2 linked regions of the Arabidopsis thaliana genome follow. The protein of the gene in region 2 interacts with the protein of the main gene of each other region in a pairwise test. Each region holds a gene or a part of one and is shown on either strand. Other genes may lie near its edges. The genes, in order: ABR1 and AT4G31620.

Region 1 (4,837 bases), on a different chromosome or scaffold from region 2:
GGCGATAGGCACACACAAGCATGGTGAAAACATAAATTTATTTAATAATCACTATGTTTCCGTATTTGGATTGATCTTTGAAGACTCGATCTCTAAATTTGTTTTATTTTACTACTAATTTTTATTTGATAGACATATTTAGGTATTTTTATCGCCTAAGTGATTAAAAGCTACTGTATGTTTTAGTGGAATATAATTAAACTGGATTAGTATAAAACAGGGCATCTTAGTTTCTAAAAAGGGAAATGACCGGTGAAAAGGTTTATCCAGTTTTTTTTTTTTTTTTGTCGTGGTTTATCCAGATTAATTATACTGTCGTACAATATTTTTGTTCAGCTTCTTTAAGAAAATAAACTGTCGCACTGACTAATTAATTAGTTAATAGAGACTTGAGCATCAGCCTAAGAAAAATGTCACATCAATAACAATCGTTTTTTTTTCTCCCATCTTTGCAAATTATGTATTATTAGCTTCGTTAAATCTGCGACTTTTTAACAATACGAAAATGTCTCGTGTATAACAGGTAAAAATAACAACTACGTCAACTTGTGAGCACAATTGCTTAGATTGGTTAAAAACAAAAGTCCAACGATGCGTTTCGAGATTATCCTCAAGTTAACTCTCAACCAAAAAATAATAGAAAATCCAAAAGATATCAATATAATAATTATTCTGCGTTCAGACTAGAATCTACGAGTACATATCTGCAAGTTCTGAAATCTGAACCATCCTGAGCTTAATTGCAAATATGGACAACAATATGTTTTTCTTAACCAAAAAGTTTTTGTGCAGCCTCTATTAGACTCGATTCGGGCGAATAAGAAAACAACTCTTATAGTTAAAAGAAAAACACATCACAAATCCTAAAATCATATTTTCTTCTGAACAATGCGTTTCTATTTTTTTTCTATTTTCTTCTGAACAATGCGTTTCTATTATTTTCTTCTGAAAAATCGAAAACGAAGAAAATAATACAAGGTGTGGGTCAAACGGTCAAAGATAAGAGACGAAGGTTGAAACAAGTGGGCCGTAGGGTGAGGCCCAAACGGTCACGAGCATTAGCCTTACCATCACCGACACCGTCCACAAACGGAGCATCTGACGTCGACCAGAACCGACACGTGCAACACACGCGCATTCGTACGGAACGGCTCGTCTCTCAACTTGACCTTCAAGCTCACCGTTTAGACAAAATGCAAAAATAATCTTATTTTATAAATATTCCATTTAATGGTTTTACCTCTTTTTCAGCACCGAACCGTAAATATAGTAATTAATAATCGTTTCTGAATGCCTCCATATTTTAACAGTGTTTATAACTTCTTAAAGTTTTTACTATGCAAGTTGTCTTATGACACAGAGCTAATATACATAATTAATTCATTACCTTATTTATTTAATTTACTAGACTTGTTAAAGTATTCTTCAGAACTGTTCATAGAGTATAGGTCGCATATAGTATATTTACAAAAATATATAATTACTCACAAGTTGCGAAAAGATTCAGATACGTTTCATATAATAGGACCCAATTTTTTACAAAATTTGTTCAAATTGAGTTAAATCATCAAAACCAAATTTTCTTCTGTTATAGATCAAATTTATAAAAATAGCTATTTGCTATATTATATATATATATATATATATATAAACATTAGTTATTAAAAAAAAAACTGCGTGTTTCCAGTTCACACGGGTACAGAGAGAAGCCGACTCATTTTCATTTGGCGGCGCTGAAACCATACAAAGTAATTAACACAAGAAAATTAAATTTGTATATCTATCAGCTAAACCTCGTCCTTTGTCTTAAAAAACACATCTTCTAAAATCTCTGTCTTTCTTTCTTCCTCTTTGTCTCTGTTTCTTGTTTCTCTCTCTCTCTCTCTACAGAGTTTTCTTTCCCTCGAAGAAAAAGAATATTTTTAAATTTAATTTTCTCTGCGTTTATAAGCTTTAAGTTTCAGAGGAGGAGGATTTAGAAGGAGGGTTTTGTATGTGTGTCTTAAAAGTGGCAAATCAGGAAGATAACGTTGGCAAAAAAGCCGAGTCTATTAGAGACGATGATCATCGGACGTTATCTGAAATCGATCAATGGCTTTACTTATTCGCAGCCGAAGACGACCACCACCGTCATAGCTTCCCTACGCAGCAGCCGCCTCCATCGTCGTCGTCCTCATCTCTTATCTCAGGTTTCAGTAGAGAGATGGAGATGTCTGCTATTGTCTCTGCTTTGACTCACGTTGTTGCTGGAAATGTTCCTCAGCATCAACAAGGAGGCGGTGAAGGTAGCGGAGAAGGGACTTCGAATTCGTCTTCTTCCTCGGGGCAGAAAAGGAGGAGAGAGGTGGAGGAAGGTGGCGCCAAAGCGGTTAAGGCAGCTAATACTTTGACGGTTGATCAATATTTCTCCGGTGGTAGCTCTACTTCTAAAGGTTAGTTTTGTTGGGTTTTTATTTTGTCCTCTATAAACACACGTACCCTGTTTCGGATTTAAACCACATTAGTACACACCATTTTGATAAAATTTTACATATTTCGGTTGTGTATCCACAAAACATAAAACATTTAAATTATAAGATCATTCTATTTGATAAATGTTTTCAATAATTTTATGATGTAGTATATACATCAAGGTATGAGTCACATCAAATGTTTGTAACACAAAATCTAAATACAGTTGCACTTTTGTTGTCCTCACGCAATCTACAAAGCAACATGTCTTATATTTAGTTTTTTTATTCTTTTCTTTTATCGTTTTCTAAAATATGGCGAAGTTAGATATACTTTATAATAATTTAAATATAAAGAAAAATGAGGAATAAAAAATAGTAATTAGCGTAAAGATGTAAATAAATATTTCGAAGTGTTGACAAAAATAAATATAATAACGAAACTGTACTTGATTATCTTAAGACATATACTTTAGAATTGTTGTAAAAAGGTTGGATATTTAATTAAGAAAATGATGATGATGATGATGATATGCCAAAAGAATTTATCTCCCTCCAATTGCATCAAGAGTCGTTTTCCACTTCCTTTTTTTTTCTACTTGTTCATTCCTTTTGTCACCCATTTGCCTCATCACTTTCTCATACTCGCTCTTAAAAAAAAAACTTTATAATATCTTTATTGGAGACATTAATATTATCGATTCTTTTTCTTATGTAAGAAAGTGTTAATTCACGAGTGACAACAAAAGTGTGAAATTTTACATGTTTGTTTGTTTATTTGCAGTGAGAGAAGCTTCGAGTAACATGTCAGGTCCGGGCCCAACATACGAGTATACAACTACGGCAACTGCTAGTAGCGAAACGTCGTCGTTTAGTGGGGACCAACCTCGGCGAAGATACAGAGGAGTTAGACAAAGACCATGGGGAAAGTGGGCGGCTGAGATTCGAGATCCATTTAAAGCAGCTAGAGTTTGGCTCGGTACGTTCGACAATGCTGAATCAGCAGCAAGAGCTTACGACGAAGCTGCACTTCGGTTTAGAGGCAACAAAGCCAAACTCAACTTCCCTGAAAACGTCAAACTCGTTAGACCTGCTTCAACCGAAGCACAACCTGTGCACCAAACCGCTGCTCAAAGACCGACCCAGTCAAGGAACTCGGGTTCAACGACTACCCTTTTGCCCATAAGACCTGCTTCGAATCAAAGCGTTCATTCGCAGCCGTTGATGCAATCATACAACTTGAGTTACTCTGAAATGGCTCGTCAACAACAACAGTTTCAGCAACATCATCAACAATCTTTGGATTTATACGATCAAATGTCGTTTCCGTTGCGTTTCGGTCACACTGGAGGTTCAATGATGCAATCTACGTCGTCATCATCATCTCATTCTCGTCCTCTGTTTTCCCCGGCTGCTGTTCAGCCGCCACCAGAATCAGCTAGCGAAACCGGTTATCTCCAGGATATACAATGGCCATCAGACAAGACTAGTAATAACTACAATAATAGTCCATCCTCCTGATGACTTGCTTCATTTTATTTGTTTCACTATAGAGTAATAGAAAACAGGAAAATGATTATATGTTATAGAGTTATTTTTCCAAATATTATAGGGTTTAGGTTGTTTGTATTGTTCTGCTTTCATCCTCTCATGCTTTTTTTCTTAATTTATTATATTTTTGCATTATAATTTCGTTTCATTGTAACAAACATTAAAAAGACCACATGGAGAAAGGAAAAAAAAGAGAGTTTTGTATATAATCTTGCAAGGTCTCCTAAAGAACACAAAAAAAATGTGTTCGAACCAAGCAGAGAAAGAAAACTCAAATGATTATGTTAGAACGAGAGCCTGAAAGATTCTTTCCACCGATGTGTGTGGCTAGACCGGGTTCTCAAGCTCTTAGTGCAACTTTATGAACCATTGTTTCTTTGTGAATTTGGTGACAACTCTTTTCAACAAGATCCAAAAGCTTCTCCAAGTTTGTTGCCCACGAGTTGAGGATTTCGTTGCTGTCTTTAACAATCTGGAAGCAGATTATTCCTGATGGTCTGTCGATTTTTGCTATCAAGGCTTTGGACACAACCATTTCAGATAGATGCTTCTCTGCTTCCTGAAATATAATGAAACGGTAAGAAGAGATTTAAACATGTACTGGTACACTTAAGAGTATTTTGAAACTATATTTACCTCAGTGGTTAGGCATAAAAGTTCTGCAAGTCTCTTAAAGGTAATCCTTGAGTAGTACTTTGAGACAACGAGAATATTCTGCAGAAGATGTGAAGAATTTGTAAAGTTAAGACTCTTCAGTAACAATTGATGCAATCAAAGAGGTAAAGATAGATTAGAGCTCAAAGAGTCTTTACGTGTTCGATTATTCTTAGTTTGAG
Region 2 (5,047 bases):
GGAATCTGAATACACGTTCCATGCATCATCTTCATCAGCCCTATCTTCGTCAGAGGATATGTACTGTAACTTACAGAAACTGCGACCGGAGGCTGTGACGTGAAAGGTCATGTCCCCGATTTCCCTGAAAATCACAACGTCGTCATCTTGGAGAGAGTGTACGGTGGAGAAATTTTCCCAGCCGCCGGCGAATCTGCGGCCGTTCAATTTCACTTCCCAGGTTCTATCGAAAGCGTCCGAGGTCAGTTTCAGTTTTGTAGACTGGTGGTTTTTACCTTCCACGTAAGTCGAAAAAAACTCAGCAGGAATCATCTGCACGACACCAACATTAACAAGGATGATATATAAACCAGTTATAAGTTTTTTTGAACAATTGTAACAGAGAGAAACATAAAGAAACGAATAGAAGAGAGTAATTACGGGACTGGATTTGTGTCCATGAAGAACTATGACGAAGAAATGCTTGTTGGTTGGAGAGGAAATTGCTGGATCATCCATTATTGAATAAAGTAATCTCCACAACTCTACTAATAATCTCAGATATATGTGAGTCTGATCTTGAAAATTTTGTCTTTTCCAAGTCTTCTTCGAATTAAAGAAATGTTTTAATTAAAGAGCATGCAAGTTCTTTCTCGAAAACGCTGAAAGAGACAGAAGCAGTAAATCTGGCAAGGAGACTTTACGTTGAAATTTGATAGGTCAGTAAGGTGGGGGCCACCACTGTCACGTTTGAAATTTGATAGGTCTATAAAACTGACCTTAATTATTATTTTTTTTGGATTCTCAATTCACTTTTCTACTACCTACCAATCATCCCACAAGCACACATCTTATCGTTAGACAATCAAACTGATCCCTTTAAACAATCTCACGTCCAAAGGCTATTTAGAAATCAGCTTTACTACAGAGTTTCGATTTTCACAAACACGTAAATCATATATCATTTACTAAAGAAACTACTTGTCTTGATTGTTGAACGAGTTCCAGATGGCAGATACTAACAAGATTTGCAAAAGTTCATGTTCCATTTCCTAATCTTCACTTCCCTTCTAGACTTGATGATTACTTGAGGATTTTGTTGATTTCCGATACTTTATCCCCTGTTTATTTTCAACATTAAAATTTTAGAAACAAAGAAACAGAATAGTAAAAGAAAACAACTGTTCATCAGTGTTTAGATCATACCTAAGGCGTCGATTTCCAGCAGCGCAGCTTCTAAATTCCGCTCCTTTAACTCAAGCTCTGACCGAAACCGTTTTATACCAGTTAGAATGTTTACAATACTCTGTTTCACCTTTTTCGCTTGATCAGAGAATGAGCAGGGTTGAAGTGGTTGCTTGCGCTGCAAGATTTTTGGATCGTCACTGGATTTGTTTGGTGCCTGAGTGCGACGAGAGTGTCCTACTTCTGCAGACACTCGAGCTCTCTTTGGTAACGGAGTCCCCCTCTCTTCTGGAGCCTCTTCTTGCTCTATCTGAATACAATTCATTTTAACAGTCTAAATATAGTTCATTATAACAAAAAAGGCGACTTGAATCACAAGGTGTTTATTCACCTTGACCTTGGCCTCGGAGCAGAACTTGAGCATAGGAGTTGTGCCTTCTCCTCGAACAAACTCCAACGTGAAGGTCTCTCCCGTCTTTAACTTATTGGCTTCACAAAACCTAATCCAACCATGTGCCATGTAAAACTCTCTTCGTTGTTTGGAAGAAGATACATAGGATGGCCACTCTACTCCATTTTTGTCCACTAGAATTATCTCTTCAGCCTCCTTGATCCCGTTCTCCCTCACAAATGATCTCCGGAGACGCTGCATAAGCATTCGTGAAGTATTACAAGAAAATGCATAATCAAATTAACCCTAAACCTAAGACGTTGAAAACTTACAAGTTGCCCTGACTGGATCATGTAATGCTTCAAGGTTACTGTCAGAAACTTGTTCTGCTTCGTTGAAGCACTCCCATCTTCCCTGCTATACTTTTCAGAAACATTAGCTTTTCCATTTGCTTTGGAATTGGAACAGTTTCCTTGTGGAATAACTTTAAAACACAATTGTAGCAAAGGCCTTGTCCCATTCCGGACAAGCTTAAACCGGTAGAACGATCCGGGTTTCAGCTCATTTGCATGGCAGAAACTTCTCCAGCGTCCACGGATAAAAGCCTGACCAGTTCTTTTGTTGTGTCGCAGACCCAGAGTCCATGATTCCCCACTTAGATTCATTAGATCAATCATACAACATCTCTTCGTCAAACCATTTGCTCTCGAAAAATGTTTTGTAAAACTCTGCCAAAAAAGAACAAAACACAATTTCAATGTTCACATATATATAAATAACTCATAAACAAGAACTCTAAAGAATTTGATGCCAAGTAGTACTAACCACTCGATTTAGGCGTAGGTTGGAAGCAGTGAGGCCGAGAAGACAATATTTTTCCGATGAAGAAGACTCTGCTTCAAATCTTGATTTCTTCTTCAACGAAATGTTCTTCGAATCTGAATCATCGTCCCCTGCTTCATCATCATCATCATCACTGTCGTAGTCGCCGGAGCTAGAAGATGTACGTATCTGTGAGAAACTGCGTCCGGAAGGTGTGACGTGGAAAACCATCTTCACGTCGAGTCTGAAAACCAAAACGTCGTCGTCTCGAAGACAGTGTGCGGCGGAGAAATCATCCCAGCCGCCGGCGAATCTCCGGCCGTTCAGTCTCACATCCCAGATTCTATCCGAAGCATCAGAAGTCAGTTTCAATTTCGTTAAGCCAGTTTTACCCTCTAAGTGAGCAGTGAAAAACTCATCAGGAATTATCTGCAACAACAGTGACAACTAAATTTGAGTTTCTTGGTAAGTTGAGAGAGAGAGAGAGAGACAGAGAGAGGTTACTAGATTTGAGGTGTGTCCAGCAAGTGATCTGACGAAAAAAGGTCGGTTGGATCGAGAAGAAGATAGTGGATGATTCGCCATTGTTGAACTCTTTAAGTTATTTCTTGAGGTCTTTATGGATTTTTGGTTTTATAGCCAAATTTGTCTTTTTTTTTTCTTTTTTTTTGTTTAGTCTTATACGTTTTGTTAATAATTTTGTAAATTTAATTCTTCAACCAAGATATTTTTATTTTTGTCAGCATTATTTAAATATCATAGCCAAATACCTAATGATAATGTTATGGAACCCATTATTTAAACCCGTTTGATTCATACTATAAGAACGAATCGTTTAGATTGGTTCGTAAAAAAAAGAAAATATCCAGTTTAAATTAAAAGTCTATCTTACCATCATTACCAAGACAGACATGTCCCGTTCAGTACAACAGTTCAATCACTGGGATACGAATCTAAAGACAATGTCAGTAACTTTATCTTGACGGAGACGTGAATGAGATAAAGGCTATGGGATAATTAATATCCAAGACAAGTGGAAACGGAAAAGTTCCGAAATATTATCCAGTGACATACTTAACTCCATGGTTGCAAACATAAAGTACCTGGTCCATTTTCTAATCTTTATTTCTGAATTAAACTTGACTAATGTTGAAGATTTTGCTGATTCCCATTATCTTTTCCCCTGTTTTTGTTTCCAACATCACATTATCAAAAAATCTGGAACCAAAATAAACCACACACACAATTAAAAGTAGTGTTCACTGGTATTCAGATCATACCTAACGCATCAATTTCTTGCAATGAAGCTTCTAGATTCTGTTCTTTTACCTTGAGCTCCGACTGAAACCGCCTTACATCGGTTAAAGTATCCACAATACTCTGTTTCACCTTTTTAACGTGATCAGATATTGAGCAAGGTTGCTTTTGCTGCAAGTTTCCCGGATCAGCCCTAGTGCTGCGAGATGGCCCTCCTTCCTCAGTAACTTGAGCTCTCTTTTCGACCCGATTATCAGTTTGTTCTTCAGCCAGTGGTGCTTGATCCGTCATTCGGGGTTTCCTATCCGCAGTCTTATGGCCATCAGATGATGCTGCTTGTTTCACCTGAACACAATTCGTTTTAAAACAACGATTTCACAATAGCAAAAGCCAAGAACAAAGACTGTAACTGATTTTATGTTAACCTTGGAACAGATCTTGAGAATTGGAGATGGTCCTCCTCGAATAACCTCCAATGTGAAGGGATCACCAACATTCTTTACGCCATTAGCTACAAAGAAATCTTGACAACCTCTATTGTAAAACTGATCGCGTCCCTTGATGTTAACTAGATGCGACTTCCACTCTATGCCATCTTTGTTCAATACAGTTACCTCTCCTGCTTCCACGATCCCGTTCTCTCTTGCGAACGATGCAGGAAGAAACTGTACATTTTCAACACATTTAAGCGAATGACAACACAAAAAGACTTGAAAAACACCTAGAACAAAGGTCTTGAAAACTTACAAATTGACATGACCTGAACACGTAAGGTTTAAGATCAAACGTCAGAATCTTGTTCTGATTCAATGGAATAGTCTCTGAGCAATTCTCAGATTCTATCTCATCACCTTCAATTTCAGAAACATTTCGTTTTTTTCTTGCTTTGGAAGAGTTTCCTTCTGGAATGCTAGAGGCGTTGGGACACAGCTGTAGCACAGGTTTTATTCCGCTTTGGACAAGCTTAAACCTACAGATAGATCCAGCTTTGATCCCGTTATTACGACAAAAACTTCTCCATCCTCCACGCATAAAAGCCTGACCAGTTTTTTTGTTGTGTCTCAAAAGCAGAGTCCAAGATTTTTCATGTTCATCCCTCAGATCAATCTCACACTCTCTCCTGTCCAGACCATTTGACCTTGCAAATTTGCTTAAAACACACTGCAAAATCACAACTTCATATATATTGTAGCAAAAGAATAGAATGAGAATTGTATTAAAGATTCCAGCGAAGTAGTAATCACCATATTATCTCGGAGTAGGCTTGAAGGTGTGACGTGTGCAACAAGATAAGATTTGTCTGATGAAGACTCTGTTTCTTTTCTTGCTCTCTTCTTCGACGAAATTTTCTTTGAACAAAAATCATCTTCGGATATCGAATTGTCATCATCATCTCCTACATCGTCGTCTTCA

Evidence for each region.
Region 1: the proteins of AT4G31620 (region 2) and ABR1 interact in a two-hybrid assay, tested with the Arabidopsis thaliana proteins (one large-scale study listed by BioGRID).

Annotation. Positions count from the first base shown.
Region 1 is NC_003076.8:25,889,686-25,894,522, forward strand, and holds ABR1 (Integrase-type DNA-binding superfamily protein), read left to right. Parts: upstream 1-1,763; 5' UTR 1,764-1,993; coding exon 1,994-2,432; intron 2,433-3,234; coding exon 3,235-3,971; 3' UTR 3,972-4,203; downstream 4,204-4,837. Other genes in the region: RPN5B (regulatory particle non-ATPase subunit 5B), read right to left, coding at 4,342-4,560, 4,638-4,715, 4,814-4,837.
Region 2 is NC_003075.7:15,321,697-15,326,743, forward strand, and holds AT4G31620 (Transcriptional factor B3 family protein), read right to left. Parts: upstream 3,025-5,047; 5' UTR 2,963-3,024; coding exon 2,882-2,962; exon of another isoform or gene 2,807-2,881; coding exon 2,381-2,806; intron 2,284-2,380; coding exon 1,888-2,283; intron 1,811-1,887; coding exon 1,556-1,810; intron 1,475-1,555; coding exon 1,186-1,474; intron 1,101-1,185; coding exon 1,063-1,100; 3' UTR 699-1,062; downstream 1-698. Other genes in the region: AT4G31615 (Transcriptional factor B3 family protein), read right to left, coding at 1-312, 421-498; AT4G31630 (Transcriptional factor B3 family protein), read right to left, coding at 3,647-3,979, 4,060-4,299, 4,382-4,795, 4,879-5,047.